3 linked regions of the Lytechinus pictus genome follow. The protein of the gene in region 2 purifies or fractionates together with the protein of the main gene of each other region. This does not show direct contact. Links are inferred from orthologs where the notes say so. Each region holds a gene or a part of one and is shown on either strand. Other genes may lie near its edges.

Region 1 (6,990 bases), on a different chromosome or scaffold from region 2:
CAGACGAGTTAAGGTGTATCCTAACAACAAGCCGTGGGTTAATAAAGAACTTTGCGATTTACTCAGGGAGAAGGGTGCAGCGCTTTCGACAGGAAATACGGAGTTACTGAGAGAAACCCAATGAAAAATCAAGCAGCAGACGGAAAAATGTAAAAGTTCCTACAAAGAAAAGATTGAACGGAACTCTTGAGATAATAACCCCAGAAAGGCATGGAAAACAATGCAGGATATTACTCGATACAACAAAGATAAATCAAAATCTGTGCCAACAGAACAAGATATTGGTTTTGTTGATGATCTAAATAATTTTTAATGTCGTTTTGATGTTGAAAATTTTGGTAGTGAAAATGAAGGAATCAAAAGTAAGGTGAACGAGATGCCTGATCAAACACCTATCCAAATTTCTGAGCATGACGTAAGAAGAATATTTTCAGGCTTACAAACACACAAATCTCCCAGGCCAGATGGCCTAGGTAACAAGGTACTTAAAGGTCAAGTCCACCCCAGTAAAATATTGATTTGAATAAATAGAGAAAAATCAGACTGGCACAACATTGAAAATTTCATCAAAATCGGATGAAAAACAAAAAAGTTATGACATTTTAAAACGTTTGCTTGTCAAAACGGAGCCTTAATAATCCAAAATCACTTAGCTTATAGTTGTGAATTATAGCTTTTTAATTTCTTTCTTGGAGAGGGGTAATTTTTTTTTATAAATTTATTACTAATTGATCTGAATTCTCTCTTTCTCCATCTCTCTCTCTCTCTCTATTTTTGTATTTTTATTTTACTCATTCTATGCTCAACTCAGCGATATGCAAATGAGAGAGTTGATGATGTCACTCACTGGCTATTTCTTTTGTTTTTATTGTTTGAATTATACAATATTTCATTTTTTTACGGATATGACAATTATGACCATCTTGTTCGAACCACAAAATGTAAAAACAATCAAATTCCACATGTTAAGGGAGGAACGAAACTTTGCTCACATGACAATGAGGAGAAAATTCAAATATTTCATATAATATGATACAAAAGAAATAGTGAGTGGGTTATGGTCAATTCCAGCGCAACGGACATGACGTTCAGACAAATTTTTATAATTCAAAGGTAAATACAGTAGAATTAGCAGTCTTTTGATAATTGTTACTGAGCTTATCAGACACATTTAAGTATCAGTTACATACACATGAAATTTCAAATCGTTTCGTTGAACAGTTGCTGAGAAATTGCACTCTTTGTGAGCGTAACGGACATGACACGAAATGGACGAAGCATTTTTACCTCCTATTGCTTATCAAAATTCCTGTGAATTCTTAGATTGCATGCACCTGATGTTGGTGTTGATTTAACCTTAAGATCATGCTCTATCCATAAAATAGTGTTTAACAACAGTTTTGCAGTGCATTCTGTATTCATAGCTCAAAATGTAGCGTAACGGACATGACACACGAAGCGTAACGGACATGACACACGAAGCGTAACGGACATGACAGTTTCGTCCACTTTTTGTAAGCAAATATAATTATTTTATTACAAGATATGGTACAAGTCTAATTGTTTACATGTTAAGGCTAGAGGTTAGAGACACACATCATAACTGGTAATCTGTAATATCTCCTATTATTTTGCAATTTGAGAGAGGGGCTTTTCGTACAATATTTATAAAACAAACAAATATTTAGAAAAATTTATTTTTCACCAATTAACAACAGTTAATGAGTATTTTCCAGTTACTACCATCTGCAACACCAAACTAAAAGAGAAAAAGTTGATAGTAAAGATTATCTTTTAGTCATGGCTTACTATTTGACAATGTACTTAGCGTAACGGACATGACACCCTTACGAAGTGAACTTCATCAGCACTTCTTAGTTTCAAAATGAAAGAAATATGAATGAATGAATGTAATTATGTAACAGCAAAGTACCTTTACTAACATTCTAAAGAAAAATATGTAGATATTATTGGCAGGTATTATTAATTTAATAGCTAAAGCCTACATGATAATTTTATATAGAATACAATGCTTAATAGTACCGCTACGGCCTACGGCACACTGAGAAGACCAAATCTCATTTTTTGTGAGAAGAAAACAAAATGTACCAGACCTGTATAAATCCAAGATGAACATATGAAATATATTTTATGATAAAGAATAATATGAACTAGTATTAATGTCAGTTTTAAGATAAAAAAATGATATTAAAAAGTATTTTAAAATTTAATAGCAGTACCTGGAAACCAGTCTTTCATTATCGATTATGTATGAGTTGAAAGGTAATCGGAATGTTTGTAAATCGCTTCTGAGATTTTTTTTCATTCAAAATAAATATCATCCTGAGTATAATCATCCTTTCATCAATTCTTGGATGTTCTAAATCTTACTATCTTGCTTGCTGACAAATGTGGCTGTATCTAATTATGTTGCATTGTCCGTGCTGCTTGTGTACAAATGAAGATACATCATTCAAATCGTGATTATGGCTGACCAAAATACTATGATGACATAATTTATTGATAGCGCCACATTCCTTCCATAGCCCCTTTGCTTTGTGATATTGCAAAGAAGTGCCACTGTAGATTCATGGATTCATAGAGCTACATCATGTAACACAGATATCTGAATACAAACTTGTTTTTAAATGTGAGCCCGTGCCATCACTGAAGAAGTTGAGGTTGGTGAAAGTCAGATACTTTGAAGCAATATCATCAATGATCTCATGAATTCACAAGTTGGAATTTTATCATGCTCCAAACTGTCAGTGCAAACACCTAAGATAATCAATCGTATTGTTCAAACACAAATGATACAGATTGTGATCTGAGTATGTTGCCAGATCTAGCTGCATCTTATCCTAATATTATGTGGCATATTGTTAATTCTCAGAAAAATATACCAGAACAAGAGCTGAACTTTCATCATTCACCAACTTCGAAAAATAGCTTGAATGACATGCAGATTTTAGGAGTTATTACATCCAGCTATCCTCAAGCAATTGAGACTGACCTCAGTCTGTGACACTGAGCCTAATATTTTGTTTTTGTGAATGCTACCTTTTGTCGTATATAAGGCGTCATGTCCGTTACACGATTTGTCATGTCCGTTACGCCATTTTTATGAAAATGAGAAGTGGTAAGGGAAAATGATTGCTACACATGGTAGGGGGATTAATTCTAACATAGAATCTGAATCTGCAGTACCTTCAGACAAATTTCCTGTAAGCTGTGAAAACTTTAAGTGAAAAACGTAACGGACATGACACTGAAAATGATAAAGAAATCACACAAATCTGAAGATCGATTTCTTTAAAATTGATGAATGGCATAAAATTTAATGATGATTTTGTATTGATGTAAACATTAATCAACTATTCAGAAGTTAAAAGAGACCTCTGGGACCTTATTTGCTTTTAGTAGAGACAGAAAAGATGAATTGTTTAAAAATAGCCACGTTTTTTAGATTTTGCAATTTACTATTCAATTTTTTTTATGATGGAAAAAAATACAAAATTTTATCAATATTGCAATTTTTCTATTGGAAATTGAAACTTTATAGATTACTTTTTAAGAAAATTTAACTGCTTAAGTGAAATCTGAAACTTCATTTTTTCTCTAAAGTGAACATTTTCCATGGAATTGCCCTTATGTCATCAGTCCCCTCATTTATAGTGACCAGGGGGGTGTTTCATCAATATTTTCGTCCGACAACTGTCAGCGCTGACTAAAATTGTCAGCGCTGACAATTTAGTCAGCGCTGACAAAAATTCGTTTCATCAAACTCTCGGAGCTCCTCTGACTATTGTCAGAGAATTTTTATTTTACAAATCGTCTTGAACGAGGTTCGCTGACTAATTAGGCCACGCCCACTCCCAAAGTCGTGAAAAAGATGTAAAATTGATTGATGTTTTCGCCACGACGATTCGAAATGAAACGAAGAAATGAGAAGAAGCGAAGGTCCTCGTAGAGGTGAATGAGGATTTTACCGTAAGTAAAACCCTTCAAAATGTCGTTCATATTGTATGTAAGGTGATTGAATTATTCGTTGTGCGTGATTATCAAATGAATTACAAGAAAAGAGGATCTTCTGGCAGGACCCCTGTCGATACGATCGGTGAACTTGACAGTACAAAATCCAGTCTAGTCCCATACCCGTGTTTCTGTGTCTGTAGAACTATCTCAGGTCCAAACTAACGACACGGCTCACGGCTGTCACGTTTTTATGATCCGCACATGGCTGCAATGTTATAAATTTTGCAAAGAGAATTCTTTATATTGTTCTACCTTTATGTCATTCTATGTTGCAAATCATATTTTTTCATTTCCTTTGGTTTTGTAATAATTTTGTTGCTCGGTGTAGTCGGAGATTGGCTTGATCACCAGGCAAACCAGCGTGTGCAATTGTAAATGTACACATATCCAATGGGGCCATCCTAATTCTGTGTTACAGAAATTGGAATTGAACAGGAGCTAAATCACATGGTAATAGTGTGAGTGGTAAATTTGTAAAGTGGATGTTCTCAACTATTAATGTAGGCTTAGCCTTAGCAAGTCACAAGTCGAATGAAGTGAAGGCTCTCGACAGCTGTCGAGGATTCGGGCGGGGGGGGGGGGGTGATGCGATTGTGGCAGAGGTGCGTTCACACCCAATAAAAATTAAAATCTAGATATAAAAAAATTATTAGATCTAAGTTTTAAATAGTGCAACCGGCCCGTGGCCGTACTGGTATAGCTTATAGGCCTAGATCTATCTTAAATTATCTTTGACTTTGCGCACCCAAGTGAAATGAGCCATTTCATAGCTCCCTTTAAAAAAAAATATTGATCGTCCAATTTGGGGGAGACGAAATAATGCTCTTCATTTGTGTGCGATTATGAAGTTTGTTTGGCTTTTATTTTTCTAAGTCAATTTTTTAGACAAATTACTATTTAGCATGAATCTGCAATAGCATCGGTGTTATTGGGGTAAATAAATTAAATTATTGTTGATAATGTCTCTTAATCTATTTTTTGAAAAATACTGTCGTACCACATAAAGTTAGAGTCTAGTCATACCTAACCTTAAATAGCATGTAAAGGTTAAAGGTCTCTTCATTAGAAAAAAATATAGGAGAATATGGAATGGATCTCATCAATCCCAAGTATTTTTCTGCCTTGAATCTCATATTAAAGTTCCATTGAACAAAGGTCACAGTCCAGAAATAGTTGACAGTTTGATGGTTTGATGGGGATGCAATTTGCTGCAGTTATGAATTAGGAGCCTATTCATATTTTTTATTAATTTGATTGTGGCTTTTAACCGGCAAGGTATCCAAGCGCTATTGAGTTTGAAAAAAACTTTTATTTTTATTTTTTAATTTAAAAAAAAAATTATTGAAAAAGCTGTTTTACTATTTTGTATGGTTAATGTGTTAATTACCGTCTTGTTTATAATCAAGTGAAAATTATATGAATTAACAAGGATAAATTGTTGACCGATTGTTGGTAAATTCTATAAATTTCAGGATAATAAAAGAAGAAAAATGATTGGTATATTCGATCATTCCCCTTTATGAAATGTCAACAATATTCATTGAAAGTGCAGTATTTTTCAATGATCACTGTAAATCTACATATTTTCTTTGCTACATGTATAACAATGTGATATTATTAATATTTTAATTTCAGACTATGGACATTTGAACAGTATGCAGAAGAAGACGGATCTGGAACTAGAAAGCAAGGCTCTGACTGGTCTACTACAGCAAGGAATGTGCCAGCGGCCAATTTGATGAACATGTGACAGAAGATTTGGCAATGGGTGAAGAAATACCGAGATTGAAATGCAACCACAGGTAACATGTAGACTAGTAAAATGCGATAATGATTAAAAAATAATGAAGGATATTGTTTTGGTTGCAGAATGTAAAATCATAAAAACCCACATCAATGACAATGAAATCGGACTGTGACCGGATTTTCTATTTAAAGTCAGTTTGAAATGCAAACATTACATAAGCATGAAAGACATAATAGATTCAATATATTTTGCATGTTAGCTGCAGGGTCAGCAGAACGGTTTTGAAAGTGAGGGGGCTGAGCCGAAAGTGGGGGGGGGGGGGGGGGGCTGACCAATGCAAAAAATCATAAGCAGATGGTCAATTTTACATTTTTGTACATGGTTTTGGAAAACAGTGCGGGGGCTGAAAAATATGAAATGACCATCTGGTTACGATTTTTTGCATGGTCAGCCCGTTCACTGTAAAAACCGTTCCGCTGACCCTGCAGCTAACATGCACCCCCCCCCCCCCCGCCGGTTTCCGGAGCCCCTGCTCTCACCCCTCAATCCATTTAGCACTACTTGCTCATGTGTATGTACATACAAGCTACATTGTGAGGAATAATTTCACTTTTTAAGTTTCTCAGCCAGAGCATATGTCATTTTTACTATTGTTTGTATTTTTTATTAACATAATAAAAACTTGAACCCTTTATTTACCCCCTTCTATATGAAACCTGGTAATCAAAAGATGTTTTATTTCCTGTTTTTAGACATGTACATATACATGTGAGAAGAAATACCAGATTATGGCAAATATTTTAATTAGTTATTTCAATACTATTTTTCCTTCAGGTGGAGGCTTCAACCAAACTTTTCAGACAGACATGAGATACAAAGTTACACAAGTATAAATGGTTGAAGGTTTAGGAGAGCCAGACAAGAAGGCAGGAAATGTGATGTCACTTGTAAGTTAAAACACTCTTAATTATGACTGCCTCACTTTGGCGAAGAAAGTAAAGTCACATTAAAAAAAATATTAAATTACTGGTACTGCTCTCTTCTTTATTTGTTCTACTCAAATATTTGAAAACAATGACATCTATAAGTGCTTAGATGCTTAATTGATTAATGGTGATATTTATTGGACAGTTGTAAAACAACCAATATCAATCAATGCTAGATGGTGTGACTTGCTTTCTATTGCCAAAGTAGTAAATGAATGTTCC
Region 2 (7,699 bases):
TCATATTATAGAATACAAAATAGTGAGTGAGTGATGTCATCACTTCCCTCATATACATACCGACCGGGATGTGCATTTAACTGTTTTGTGAAATTAAGCGAAAATGTCATAACTTTCTTATTTTACATCCGATTTTGATGAAATTTTCAGTGTTATGCTTGTTGGATTTTTCTCTTTTTATTTTAATTAACTTTTTGTTGGGGTGGACTTGTCCTTTAACTTACGAACAGCTTTATGAAACACCCATCAGCAGTAGTTCTTGTACAAACTAATAATAATCACTAAAAGCTACTATTGTTTGATTGACTGGGTTTTTTTATTCACATTTACTTTTAAAAAATGCATGATTATTATCTAGACTATTACACTGGATGTGCTTTTACGTTCTCAAACAGAAATTAAATCAAAGCACCTTACCAAAAGTGAGAGCCGCATCTTTCTTATTGGAATCTTGCAAACGTCTTTTCAGGACTAATCCTAACGTTCATCATAAACAAAACAATGGAGAATGCAAGAAAGCTGCTATGGAAGAGATATGTCTTTGGCTCCCACCTCATAGGCACTATGCATCTTTCACAGCGACGACCCCCACAGTCCCCATTGCATTGTCTAGATGACGAATGTGGTCATTAGCAAGAAAGGAGATGCAAAGGATTCCTGCGTGAAGTGCCGCTTTGACTTTGGGTTATGAAACCTCAACTGAAGTGAACACAGATAACAAATAACCAGTTCCTGTATTAACTGCACAGAGATTCAAACTTACCTAACATGCTTGAACTGATATCCATTCCTACCCAGTGATGACCTTGCTCTGTCAGAGCTTCCCCACTCAAACCAGAACCACAACTACAAAGGTGGAAAAAAAAATTGAGTCGAGAGAAAATAAAACAAGTGTCAACTATACAGCCTGGGAAATAATTATTAGACTATAATACTGTATGGGAGTTTAGTAGGAAAGTGGTGTAATTATTATAACCCAAACATATACATATTCTTTCAAACAAAATGTGATTGTTCACTAAAACACATTATCAGGTAAATATTTAATTCTGAAGTTCTGACTTTGCTGGCTTTCCATAGTTCTGATTGATTGGATCAATCGCAACTCTTTGTAAGGCCCATCTTACAAAGAGTTACAATTGATCCAATCAAACGTAACTCTATGGAAATCCATCTATACCATAATTTTATCTACAGAATATTTGCACAATGTCCTTTGTAAACAAAGAGAAGCACAGTAAATTTTTAAGAAAACAACAAATGCATGAATAGAAAATTCTATTTAACAAACATGCATAATACATGTTGACATTGCTGGCCGTCCATAGTTGTGATTGATCAGATCAATCGTAACTCTTTGTAAGACGGGACCCTGGGCCCGGTAACATAAAGCATAGCGATTGATCGTGGGGCTGGTTTCCATGATTGATTGCATTGATCATTGTGTATGATCAATCATCAAAATCTGACACAAGATCAATCACGAAGCTCTATGTTACAGGGCCTGGGGTTGCTAAAAAAATTAAATGAACGTCTCAAAATCTTAGCTAGTACTACATAGAATGCCTGTTATACCATAGTCTCCTGTGAGACTAAATGAATTTGACTGGTTGCAGAATGAGACAATGTACCAAGATTGAGAGCTAGACTTTCAAGCAGGAATCCCGCAAAATGTGTTTCATTGTTAATCTTCATAGTTTTTTCAAAAACAAAACAATGTTTCAATCAGGGTTCCCAGCTTTTCAAGAAAAAAAATTCGGATTTTTCTCTGATAAAGTTTGAAAATTCCCTGATAATTATTTAAACCCGTTCCCAATTTCGCATGTTTTCGAAGTTGTTGCAGTGAATTACATGTATTTTCAGTATAAAAACAATAATGTACATGTAAAACTAATTAGTGCTATTACACAGGCATATAATGGCCTCCCTTCTCCCCCATCAAGCCATCCACCATACCCCATAATCACAATAACCAGTCAATCAATGGATGTTGTTTTGATATGCAACAAAATATAAGAGTCTGACTGACTACCGTGCTCTCTCCTTTTGGGCCGATCAAAAAAATTCCCTTATTTTTCCCTCATTTGAGGCATTTTTCCCTGATTTGAGGTATTTTTATCAAATTCCGATTTTTCCCTGACTGGAAAAAAGTAAAATAATTTTCCCTCATTTCCCTGATGGGCTGGGAACCCTGTCAATGATAATCCTCATATTTCAACATTGACAAAAACAAATGCATGAAAGGCCGGTAAGCCCACTTGAAAGCCGAAAAGTGCCTTTATGACAGGATTCATGCTGAATGACCATGCACGGACTTTCGGTGAGGTGTCTAAACAATTGGAACTTACCCAATATCCAAAATGAAGGAAGGAGTGTCTTCGGGAAGAGACAGGAGTTCTATTGCTCTCTCAGACATGGTCATTTGAATCTCTATCATTCTTGAACTATAGAATTAAAGGAGATAAAAAGTATGAAGTTGATCGGTCAACGGGTTCTTGAGTCATTAAATGAACAGTGCAATGCATTTTAAGGTGTACAATGACCTCCGAGACCTTAAACATCTCACCTCCATACCCCCAAAACAAAGCAGTTCATCGTCAGTCCCAAATGTATGATCCAAATATGAAGTCAGTACGTCAAACAGTGAGTTATCAAGAGAACAAAAGGGGGCAGACAGGCGACCCAAAAACACTACGCCTCCACAACCACATACGGTCGGCGGAAGCTTTTAAAAAAAAGAGACTTGGTGAAAGAACATGTTTTCATTATACACCAACAACAATACTTATCCTCAGAAAATAAGGGATGAAAAATGTACATGAAGCAACACACTTTGTGCAAATCTCTTGTACACAGGATGACTGGAGAAAGGTTTTATCAACAGCTTCACTATTTTCTTCAGTGTTGTGTGAACAAGTGAAGTAAAACTTAGCATAACTTCTCTATCTGATTAAGCAGTGAATATACTTACTTAGATGTGTATTTCCTTGCTTCATCATCATTATAAAACTGGAATATAAACAAATAAAAAAGATATGACATAATCATTGTATATAACAGAGTTGTGACAAATAATTGAAGCCATAAACCACAGTAACCATTCATCATATTAATAACTTCAGTTTAAAACACTGAACTTCTTAAAGGACAAGTCCACCCCAACAAAAACTTGATTTGAATAAAAAGAGAAAAATTCAACAAGCAAAACACTGAAAATTTCATCAAAATCGGATGTAAAATAAGAAAGTTATGACATTTTAAAGTTTCGCTTCATTTCACAAAACAGTTATATGCACATCTCGGTCAGTATGCAAATGAGGGAACTGATGACATCACTCACTCACTATTTCTTTTGTATTTTATTATATGAAATATGAAATATTTTGATTTTCTCGTCATTGTCATGTGAAATGAAGTTTCATTCCTCCCTGAACACGTGGAATTCCATTATTTTAACATTTTGTGCTTCAGGCAAGGAGGTCCTAATCATCAAATTCGTAAAAATTGAAATATTTTATAATTCAAACAATAAAAAACTAAGCCTGAGTCGAATCGATTTTAAAATCGGTGTTCGATCGATGTCATCGAACGCCGGTGCAGATTTTGCAAAATCGGTGCATCGAAAAAAAAAAAAAATATATGTCGGCCGGCCGATTCGTTTGGTTCACACAATCAAACATCAAAATAAACAGTAATATCCAACTTGACTACTACTTACTTCATTTATATTGCCCCCAAAATGAAACCGATTGTGTAATTATGATGCCTATTCACCATTAATTTGAAGTTTATTTTGATCATAGTTCGAGTCTTACTCGTCTGCCCGGCTCGCCTGCTCGTGCCGAGATAATTTATGCACGATGAATTTATGAATGGAAGTCGCCATTGATCGTGCATGCGCAGTACTGTGCTTTAATCAAATCAGAAAATGGCCGGAAAATTGACGCGATCAACGTAAAGTAAATCTTGCTTTCATGAACAATATTAATATCATGACCATAGAACATGATTTAATTGTAATATTTAACAATAATTTGCATATGATAATCATTAATATGAATTTAGAGCTTGATGTGAAACGTTTGTATTTCGTTTCAATTTTAAATGGCGGACATCACATGACGATCGACTTGAGTGAGTGCACTTGCCTAAAAAAATAATTATCACGTCAGGATTGATTATCGAACATTGTCAACATGTAGAAACTCTTTTGAAGATCGTAATATCACCATATAATAATATTTTACATGACAAAACAGAGAAAAATTATGTTTGATATTTTTTTCCCATCAATTTGAAGCTCGTTTGTGCCCAACTTTGGGCTCTGATTTCATGAATGGAAAATATGTCAGACGTCATCGAATGCGCATGCGCATTGTGCTTCTTTTCTTGGAGCTCAGAGACGTCCAGAGATGGAATAAAAAATAAAAATAATGCCAGTATAATACTATTAATGAATTCTTCCATATGAACACAACATACTTTGCTGACGTCGTCAATATTTTTAGTATGGCCATAAAATCTTATTAAATCGTAATTATTTAACATCCAATAATAATTTATATGAATTTAGAGATCGATCCGAGACATTCGTATTTATTTCGATCACAAGCGCTTGTGTCTAAAAAAATGGATTATCATTATCAGGATTATAAAGTCTCGAACATCGCCAGAACTCATATTCCACAATCTTTCCTCACAATCGTTATATCAGCATTGAATACCAATTCAAATGACCATCCAGATAAAATTACGTATTTATTCCCATCAATTTATTTGGAGCTAATTTTGGATCCAACTACACAATCTCAGGCAAGTTACAGCGCTCTCCCCGCTGTTTGCACTTGTTAGATGGCGCTGGCAAGCACGCCTGTCGTTTCGGGAGAGTGAGTGTACGGGGCTGGCTGCGGAAGGGGTGGTGTGGGCGAGTCTGGACTGCGAATGCGTGTTGACCGAAAATCATTCGGATCGACTCTGCGTGATTCATGTCTTTAATATTGTTTCATTTTAAACTTATATGTTATCATCTGCAAATATCATTGTTGAAGATATTTTGGGAAGAATTCTGCATTGCTCCCCGGCCTTTTTTGTGTTTTGTGATCATGGAAAATACATACGAACTTTGCTCTGTCATCTGCTTTTGCAACGCTCACCCGGCCAGCGCAGACAGTCAGTGCATGTATAGTGCATGCATAGCGCATGCATCGACGGCCGGCCGGAGCCAAAAAAATGACTTGATTTTCCCCGCCTTCAAATTTCGATGCATCGATGTTCGATCGAATTAAAGCTGTCAAACATCGGTTTTCAAAATAATCGATATGACTCAGGCTTATAAAAAACAAAAGAAATAGTGAGTGAGTGACATCATCGACTCTCTCATTTGGATGTAACTGGCTCGTTCATATAACTATTTTGTTAAAAAAGAGCGAAACTTTGAAATGTCATAACTTTCTTATTTTACATCAGATTTTGATGAAATTTTCAGCATTGTGCTTGTTGAATTTTTCTCTTTTTATTCAAATCAACATTTTTCTGAGGTGGACTTGACCTTTAAACATAAACAAGCCAGTATTAGTGGTGACAATCTAAACAATAACAGTACAGGCCAAAAGTTTGGGTCCATCCTCAGATTTAGAAGATAATCATACGTAACACTGCATTCTGCATATAATCAAATGTATTGATACTGAATAGGCTATGCCAGCTAGGTTCAAAACATCACACAAGCATGTTTCCAACCGGTTTTGAGTGCAGTTCTGTGAGCCCTAGTCGGTTTTCATAATATATTCAAATTTAAACTTCAAAGGTATGCATAAAATTTGAATATATTTAAAGCAAAGGTTGTTTTTTGACAACCTGAAAGCTTGACCAAGGCTGGTCTGACATAGCAACACATCATACATGTTAACCTGTCAATCGGACAGTCAACCTGCCTCAAACGTCAAGTCTTCTCTCCTGCTCTACAACTCAACTCGCCAACTCAAGCCAGCCTTCTCTCATCTACTCAATCCTCTCTCACCCCTCCAATTCAACAAGCCTTCTACTCAAGCCTCTCATCCTGCCTACCGCTCAAGCTTGGCACTATTTCTGGTTTACGGTCCTCTTTAAGACTACACTAATTTCCAAAACATACTCACTCTACTTTCTAACCTCCACTTTCTCGCCTCTCTAGTTCTCTTCTACCTCTATCCACTTTTATCTCTCCTTGCCAAGACTTTATATATGGTGTACCGTAAAAACCACTTCAGCGACTGTTCATGCCACCATGTAAACCTTCAAATATCTTCTACTAGTATCCAGTTTGCATATATTTTTTTTGCTATGTCAGAACAAGCCTTGAACAAACTTTCAGGTTGTCAAAAACAACCTTTGGTTTAAATTGAAATTTTATGCATACCTTTAAAGTTTAAATTTGAATATATTCTGAAAACCGACTGGGGTTCACAAAAGAGCAGTCAAAACTGGTTGGAAACATGCTTTTGTGATGTAATGAACCTAGCTGTCATAGCCCGTTCAGTATCTAAACATATGATTATATGCAGAATGCAGTATTATGTATGATTATCTTTTAAATTTAAGGGTGGCCCAAAACTTTTGGCATGTACTGTATTTTGAATAGAATTTCAGAATCCAATAAAATGACAGCCCAAGTGTTAATTGTAGAAGTATAGAAATTTGAAATACATTAAATTCAAGAGAGTATAATTGAATGAAAAAAGTGATGTATTGATCAAACATTAATGTTTTACTTTTAAAGGGGAAGTTCACCCTGACAAAAGGTTTGTTTTTAAATAGCAGAAAAAATAATTAAAAATATTGCCGAAGGTTTGAGAAAAATTCATCAAAGAATTAAAAAGTTATTAGAATTTTAATTATTTGATTTGTGACGTCATATGCGAGCAGCATTCCTACATAGCGAATGGTAAAAATTAATGAAATCTCATTTTCTCAGAAAATTGAAAATGGTTTTTTACTGTCCCTTTCGTATATCAATATACAAATCATTTCACACCCGATCATGAATAGAAACAAAATTAAGTCATCGGGAACCATACAAAATTTAAAATTCATGCATTTTATATTACATAACATATGGGGCAGCTGCTCGTTTATGACGTCACAAATCCAGAACTTTGAATTCTAATAACTTTCTTAATCTTTAACGGTTTTTCCTCAAACCTTCGGCAATATTTTTTATTACTTTTGCTGCTATTTTACAACAATCTTTTCTTCAGGGTGAACTTCCCCTTTAAGTCTTGCACATCTTTGGTGACCTAATTTGTGATACTCAGGTACCCGGTTGCAAAATTATGCAACATTACGCAAGTCAGGCCTGACATAAGTGCATATCAGACCACAAATTGCTCCAAAACATGAATTTGTGTACAAAGTCAAATCAATGTAAAGTTGATTTTTATTATCTCATTCCAAGAGATATGGTTATTTTTACAGTTTTTCTTTTATCAACTGAAGTAAATTCTTAGCATAATCATGCTTAAAAAAAGTTCTGCAATAAATCTAGTGAAAAGAACAAAGAAAAACACAAGGTAAAAAACAAGGAAATACAAAAGGAATTCCTTAAACAACATACAAGATATTGATTTTCAAAATGTTTTTTTTTTCATTTACAATTGTTAGAAATGGTATACATGTAATATAAAGAATATTTTATACCGAAAATTGGCATTATATGAGCCAT
Region 3 (7,954 bases), on a different chromosome or scaffold from region 2:
TTCTTTCTTTGTTTTTTTTTCTAATTATTATTATTATAAAGACTATCGTATCTTACAGGTTACCACATGATCCCGTCCCTTCTTACGACACCGTCCAGACATCGTCCTATCTCTCCGGTGTAGACAGGGGCTCCCTTTGGGATACTCTATAGTCTTGAAACTCGGAAAAGAAATAAAGAAATAAACTGTTAAAGAGTCTTTTCCCGTGAAATGATCTCGCATATACCAATCAAATACATGTATGTCCGTTTTGTTTTGTAAAGAAAAAAGATAAAATTTGATATAGAAAAAAGATAAAATTTGATATGGGGAGGTTCGGATGATTCGAAATTTATGGGGGCATCCAAAATGAGGGCTTTAATAAATGAGATGGCACATTGTTAAATCAAGGTTGTAAGTTATATGGACATGGAGATGGTGTTAGTAAACAAGATATATATATATATAACACACATGCATATACATATTTTTTCCCTTTCTTCCATTTCTTCATCTTTATTCCTTTTCCTTTAATTTCTTCTCCTTTTCTTTCCATTCTTCTTTTTTTTCTTTTTTTTCTCCTCCTTCCTTTCCTTTTCCTTTCTTTTCCCTTTCATTTTCTCTTACTTTCCTTTGTCTTTCTTTTTTTTCTCTTCTTCTTTTTTTTCAAAATGGATAATAACCGGGGATAATAAGCTCTACTGAATACAAAGAATATAACCTAGACTAGTATCCCGTAATTAGTAACCAACTGGAATAAAATTATTGGAAATGGTTTTTTGACTGATTTGAGTAGGTATGGGTGTCAACATTTACCCAAAAAAAGTTAGGAGGAATACGGGTTGGGGAAAGTGCTTTTTTTCAAGGTCAAAGGTCAATGACCTTTTTAAATATACTGTATCATGGTAGCTCCCAGATAAAATATTACAGGTTGGTGATCATGGTGTCAAAATGCACAGATTCTTACAAGAAGATCAAATAAAATCAAATCAAGTACCTACAATGCTCATTCACCCATGAAATTCAAGGTCAAAGCCTTTCAAAGTTCAATGACCTTTATTACATTATATACCATATACGGTATAATGGTATCTCTGAGATGAAAAGGTTTCAGGTTGGTGATCTAGGTGTCAAAATGCAGAGGTTCTTACAGGAAGATCAAATAAAATCAAATTAATTACCCAGAATGCACATTAAACAATAAAATTCAAGGTCAAAGCCTTTCAAAGGTCAATGACCTTTTTTCTACATCATATACCATATACGGTATAATGCTATCTCTCAGATGAAAAGGCGCAGGTTGGTGATCTTGGTTTCAAAATGCACAGATTCTTACAAGAAGATCAAATGAAATCAAATCAAGTACCTACAATGCTCATTCACCGAATGAATGAAATTCAAGGTCAAAGCTTTCAAAGCTCAATTACTTTTTTTTACATTGTATACCATATACGGTATAATGGTATCTCTGAGATGAAAAGGTGCAGGTTGGTGATCTTGGTGTCAAAATGCAGAGGTTCTTACAGGAAGATCAAATAAAATAGAATTAAGTACCCAGAATGCACATTAAACTATAAAATTCAAGGTAAAAGCCTTTCAAAGGTCAATGACCTTTTTTACATTATGTATCATACTGTATAATAGTATCTCTGAGATGAAACGGCACAGGTTGGTGATCGTTGGATCAAAATTCCCAGATTCTTACAGGAAGATCAAATAAGATAAAGTTAATCACCTAGAATGCATACTAACCCATAAAGTTCAAGGTCAAAGGTCAGTGACCTTTTTACATAGGCTATATATCGTCTAAAGGTATCTCTGAGATAAAACGCTGCATGTTGGTGATTTTGATGTCAATTCAATTTTTGCAAGAAGATAAAAAAGACTCAAAATAATCATACAGAATAATCCAATATCCAAAGTCAAAGGTCAAAAGTTGATAAATATTTATATATCCATGCATGATTCCCCCCAAAAAGAAATTAATCCATTATATTCACATTTTATTTGTGAATAATAGAAAGAAAGATAACTATTTGTAATGAACACTTGGAAGTCTAATAATTTCACTCTGAAAGAAATAAGGATAAAAAATGGCCATGGAAAATATATTTAGGAGTTAAAGGTCAATCAACTATGTCAATAGCGTCAGGGAATTTAAGTAAATAGGTCGATATAACGTGATTGTGGCATGTAGGTATAGTGATTCTGATGGGAAAAAGACTGACCTGCGTGGAAAAAGAACACAAATTTAATAGTTGAATCCTTGACCAATGATGATGTCAAAATACAAGTTCGAGGTACAAATTGGATCAAATAGCACTTTTTCTTATAATATACTGTAATGCATTGACAAAAGTGTTTAAAAAAAATCATGTGTGATATAATTTGAAATGGTGACAATGGTGAAGTTACCTAAAGTAGCAGCATTTAGATATGCATTTTATAAATCTAAATCAAGGTACTAATTTCTCTGTAGCAATAGGTCACTAACCTCAAATGCTACAATCAATACTATAACACTATAACTTAATCTGTAAATGGAAAGGATAGGCCTAAGTCTCATGGCAAGCATCATCCGAGAACATTTGCATATAGCCAGGGACAATGACGAAGAATTAAAATAAGGCAATCATTAGAGCTGCAGCTTTTTTTGTCATAGATGAAGTTAAGTGTCTCAACTTCAGCAAAGAGTAATTGGACTCTTGAAAACCTTCTGACATTTTCAAGACTTTGATATGGCCCATTCAATGAAAGCCTAACGTTCTGTCAAGGGATATCAGACCAGGATCTATATTATTACTGATAATTGCACAGCTTGATTCTCAAGAACTGGAAGTGGTGCTATGAGTTTTGTTAGGTCGATGGATGTGTACTTGTAAGCTATTATCTCCTTTTGAATGGCATTGTTATATGCCTAATTTGTGCATGCTAACAATCAGTTTTCTGGACCAAAAACATGATCCTTGTACAAACTGATACCTAGTAGAAATAGCATCATGGGTGACGTACGGCAGAGAGCAGATATGAAGGTTTGTCTTGCAGCATTAGCATCACAAGAGATTCTGGCAGCTCGCAATGAACTGATGAAAGGTACTAATAATACGGGAATTTACCTTTGTTGAAGTTGATATATATATAATTTACTACATGTATATGACAGAAGCTGCAGCTCTAATGATGGCCTTCATTTCATCATCATCCCTCTGCTGTTTGGAAATGCTCTCAGATGATGCTTGCTGTGACATGAGAGTTAGACCTGTCCTATCCATTTTCAGAAGATTAAGCTAATAGTTTATAGTATTTATTATAGCATTGAGATGAGTGGCCTATCGCTGGAGAGAAAAGACACGACAACCTTGATTTAGATATAATGATGCATTAAATGCTGCTACTTAAGATAAAAATCATTTCAAATTATATACTTGATTTCATGTATTTTTTCAGTGCTTTTGGCAATGCATCGCAGTATATGAAAAAGTGTTATTTGGTTATCAACTTTTTAAACTTCATTTCCACTGATATTTTGGAAAGGGCTCATTGACCTCTGACCCCAAAATACATTCTCCATGGCCTTCATTATTTCAGACCGAAATTATGAAACCTCCATGTTTTCATTACAAATTAGCCATGGTTATTTACATATTATTCAGATATAAAATATGAACACAAAAGATATTGTTTTGGGTTATTTTTACATCATATAGATTATATATTTCTTCTGATCTAGGATTTCAAGGGTGAAAGTTTATTCTTTATACTTATTTTAGTGTTGTTTAATCTTCTTGTACAAGTCTTTGGATTTTGGCACCAAGATCACCAACCTGCGGTGTTTTATCTCAGAGATACCATTATTATCATCTAATGTTAAAAAGGACATTGACCTTTGTCCTTGAATTTTATGGGTGAATGTGCATTCTCTATGCTTAATTTTATTTTATCTTCCTGTAAGAATATGCGTGTTTTGACACCAAGAACACCAACCCGCACCGTTTTATCTTAGAGATACAATTATATAATATGGTATATGTAGTATAAAAGGTCATTGACCTTTGGCCTTAAATTTTATGCGTGAATGTGCATTCTAGGTACTTAATTTTATTCCATTTGATCTTCTGGTAAGAATCTGTGCATTTTGACACCATGATCACCAACCTGTGCTTTTTCATCTCAGGGATACCATTATACAGTATGGTATATAATGTAAATAGGTCATTGACCTTTGAAAAGCTTTGACCTTGAATTTTATTGGTGAATGTGCATTCTAGGTACTTAAGTTTATTTCATTTGATCTTCTTGTAAGAATCTGTACATTTTGACACCATGATCACCAGCATGTACCTTATCATCTCAGAGATACCATTATACGGTATGGTATATAATGTAAAAAAGGTCATTGACCTTTTGAAAGGCTTTGACCTTGAATTTTATAGGTGAATGTGCATTTTAGGTCATTAATTTTATTCTATTTGATATTCTGGTAAGAATTTGTGCATTTTGACACCATTATCACCAACCTGCGCCTTTCCATCTCAGAGATACCATTATACAGTATGTACGAAAAGGTCATTGACCTTTGACCTTGAAAAAAAGCACTTTCCCCAACCCGTATTCCTCCTAACTTTTTTTGGGGTAAATGTTGACACCCATACCTACTCAAATCAGTCAAAAAAACATTTCCAATAATTTTATTCCAGACTCAGAGAAGAGAGATATATTATTCTAAAACAAACAGAACAATGACCATCGTCTATGTGGCCTCATACTCATATAAAATACATATATATACACAATTACACACATATGTATCTATATGAACAAATAAGTAATTAGATACTAATCAAATAGATATTTTTCTCTATTTCCTAGTCTGAGGTATAGACTAGTTTATGTATCCCATCGTGCATTACGGTTTAAATATGGCAGCCCCCATGTCAATTGAAATGTAATGCATGCATGCACGCAATTACACGCGCATTACCATTAGATACAAGATTTCGCATCGTTGTCGTTGACGTTAGATGAGATCGACAGTAGTTAGGACAATGAAGTTACTTACACATAATATGCTGACTTCTCATGTCAAAGGAGTGAAAAATGGATACCCTTTAAAAATAGAGGTAAGATACTAAGTCAAGACTAAGATCTGAAGTGAAGATTAAACAGTTAAATAAGATTAAACAGTTAAAATAGATCTAACTTTATTTTTAAGTACCGGTAGGCCTAGACCAAAAGCTTCGGTCTGTGTTATGTTGGTTGTTCAGCTGAACTCCGTTGGCTTCACTCACCAAATACAGAGACCGAAGTTCTAGCGCGATCTGTACAGGGGACTCAATGGCCATATGTTTATGTACTTAAGATCGGATAAAACGAGGAAGTGAATTTGCGCGACAGCCGAGGTAAGTCACTGTTTTTGTTCCTTTTAACTTGATTTTTCTCCGTTTTTTGGCAATTGATGCCAAGAGGGAATATTAATTTGCATTTTGGTCGCGTGAATTTTCAAAATTTTTACTCATTAAAGACAAAAATTGAAGAGCCCCGACGGGGGGATTTTGCATTGCAAGTCCCCTAATGGTGGCTGCACGCTAGCGAGCCGTCTGTGTATGAGGAGAAATTAAAAAAAAAAAAAAATGTTAAAAAACTCCTCGAAACAGAGTAACAGACGGCTGCCAGCTGTCTACGGTAGGCCTAGAATAGATCTAACATTAAAGTTAGAACCTAACGTTAGTTAATAGTAGTGCAGACACAACTGTATTTTTCCAGTAGATGCGGTATAAAGGTATTAAAGGCATAAAGACTAAGTTTTAAGATAAGAATATAAATTTCAGAAAAGACAGAAGTGAGACTGCATCAGGGTGACCAGATTTCACAAAGTGAAATACAGATTACAGGAGAATCGACAAAGGTCAAAGCACGCTGCACAAGCGGATCGACCGAGGCCGAGCCAGGTCTTAATAAAAAGAAGATCAACAAAGAAGGCTACACTGTACACAGACACAGTGTTAGACTTGTAAGTTGTAAAAAAAATAAACAATTGGAAGGGAGGATGAACGAAAGAATGAAGGAGAGAAAGAAAAGAGATGAATTGAAAGAAGAAAGAAAGAAAAAAGGGAAAATGCAGGAAAAAAGGAAGTTAGAATAAAAGAAGGATGAAATAAAGAATAACAGAGATTAAAGGTTTCCGTCATTCTTTGAATTGAAAAAAGAAAAAGAAAAACTGAAAGAAATGGAAGATGAACAAATGTGTGAAAGAATTAAAAAATAAAGGAGAGAAAGGAAAAGGGTAAGAAAAAAGGAGGAAGCGGAAAGAAAGAATGGAGGAAAGAAAAATGTTTCCTTCAGAAAATGAAAAAGAAACAAAGAAAGAAGAAAAACAGGAAGGGAGGGAAAGAAAGAAAGAATAAGGGAAAATAATTAGAAGGGAAAAATTAAATAAAGAATGAAAGAAAGGATGAAACAGAGGGAGGAGAGAATGAAAAAAAAAGTAATGGAACTAGTAGTAGTAGATTAGAGAATGAACAAAGATAAAAAGGAGAGGAAGGGAGAAGGAAGCAAAGCAAAGTTTAAGGAAAGAAAATTAATGAAGTAAATAAAAAAAGTAAATTTAAAAAAGAAAGAAGGAAAGACAGAAAAATGAACAGAGATAGAGAGAGACTAAAAATCAGGAAATAAAGATTCATGGAATGAAAAAGGGGCAAGAAGAAAAGAACGAAAGAGGAAATAGTTCAAACTTCTATATATATATTTTTTTTTATAAAAAAAACCTAAAATGTTTAAAAAATGAAGGAGGCGCGATAGCTCAGTCAGTAGAGCGGGGGTTTCGGATTCCGGTGACCCGGGTTCGATTCCCAAGTGGTGCGCTAGTGCCCTTTGGTAAGGCATTCATCCTCATTACCAGGTCCCTCTGAGAGGACCTTAAGCCGATGGCCTCTGGTTACTTGCTCACAGGCATTCGTGCTTTCTTAGCAGTCAGGTGAAAACCTCGGTATAACAATAAAATTTCAAAGTGAAACATTGTCAAATTTAAATATTAGATGAAACAACGCAGCATGCATCACACACAAGGAATCTCTCTTAGGCCCATCCCATTACAAGATCGCATCGATCACAAGACTCAAAACAAGAGCTGAAACAATACTAGATCAATATAATTATGAAAACTTGATAACTTGTTCCTCTGATTACATCACCAAATCAGTAATATAATATCATAATAAAAATTCCCCGCCGATTTTGTGATGATTTTGGTGGAAAAACTGTTTATCATGTGAGATTGTTTGCACCATTGAGAATCTGCTCCGATCCACCATGCCGAGCTAGTAGCCTGCCACACATTCATTTGCAATGTATTCATGGTGTTGAGTTAGCAAGAAAATCACCGCAGAACTTGCACAAGTTTACAGTTATCGATTTTATTGTTATCTCTGCCCCGATCTCTGCTTCGTCATCTGTTGGTTATTTGATGAAAATTCTCCACTTTTAAATATATTAACTATATTTTGTTCAATATTCTGAAATACGGGGACAAATAGGCATCCCGTGAAGGATTTGTCGGGACGCCGGGACAAAGGAGCAAAATACGGGACGATCCCGGGAAATACGGGACGTCTGGTCACCCTGGACTGCATGGAGTTGGACTGAGTGAGACTGAGAGTGAGACGTCTTCTAATTTTGTAAAGTATTACGTTAGAACTAACGTTAGAACTTTTAGAAGAACAAAGTTAGGCCTAGCCAGGAGGCTGAGTCCTGGTAAAGAGTAAATATCATTCACCAACGTGTGTTTACTCTCCACAGAGCTCGCCGCCAGCGCCAGGGATTGCGTCCTATTCATATACGTATAGTCTACCGCGAAAAAAAATGACCGGGGTATACTATAGTATAGGGTCTATCTGCAGATCTGTGAATGTAATTGAAAACATGGTATTACTATTGGTAAAGCGCTTAGAAGTTAAGAGATGTCGTTCCGATGTAGAAG

The links.
Region 1: the proteins of probable 18S rRNA (guanine-N(7))-methyltransferase (region 2) and (E3-independent) E2 ubiquitin-conjugating enzyme-like purify together in Homo sapiens (affinity purification with mass spectrometry; 5 studies listed by BioGRID and IntAct, counting the BioPlex papers as one, with this or other methods). This does not show direct contact. The link is inferred for Lytechinus pictus from reciprocal best matches to the Homo sapiens genes BUD23 and UBE2O.
Region 3: the proteins of probable 18S rRNA (guanine-N(7))-methyltransferase (region 2) and multifunctional methyltransferase subunit TRM112-like protein purify together in Homo sapiens (affinity purification with mass spectrometry; 5 studies listed by BioGRID and IntAct, counting the BioPlex papers as one, with this or other methods). This does not show direct contact. The link is inferred for Lytechinus pictus from reciprocal best matches to the Homo sapiens genes BUD23 and TRMT112.

Annotation. Positions count from the first base shown.
Region 1 is NC_087254.1:31,378,383-31,385,372, forward strand, and holds the start of (E3-independent) E2 ubiquitin-conjugating enzyme-like, read right to left. Parts: upstream 3,085-6,990; coding exon 3,061-3,084; intron 1-3,060. UniProt on the Homo sapiens protein: E2/E3 hybrid ubiquitin-protein ligase that displays both E2 and E3 ligase activities and mediates monoubiquitination of target proteins. Negatively regulates TRAF6-mediated NF-kappa-B activation independently of its E2 activity.
Region 2 is NC_087246.1:34,126,458-34,134,156, reverse strand, and holds the start of probable 18S rRNA (guanine-N(7))-methyltransferase, read right to left. Parts: upstream 3,005-7,699; 5' UTR 2,972-3,004; intron 2,445-2,971; 5' UTR 2,438-2,444; coding exon 2,349-2,437; intron 847-2,348; coding exon 764-846; intron 1-763.
Region 3 is NC_087251.1:25,026,427-25,034,380, reverse strand, and holds the start of multifunctional methyltransferase subunit TRM112-like protein, read left to right. Parts: upstream 1-4,856; 5' UTR 4,857-5,000; coding exon 5,001-5,099; intron 5,100-7,954. UniProt on the Homo sapiens protein: Acts as an activator of both rRNA/tRNA and protein methyltransferases. Together with methyltransferase BUD23, methylates the N(7) position of a guanine in 18S rRNA.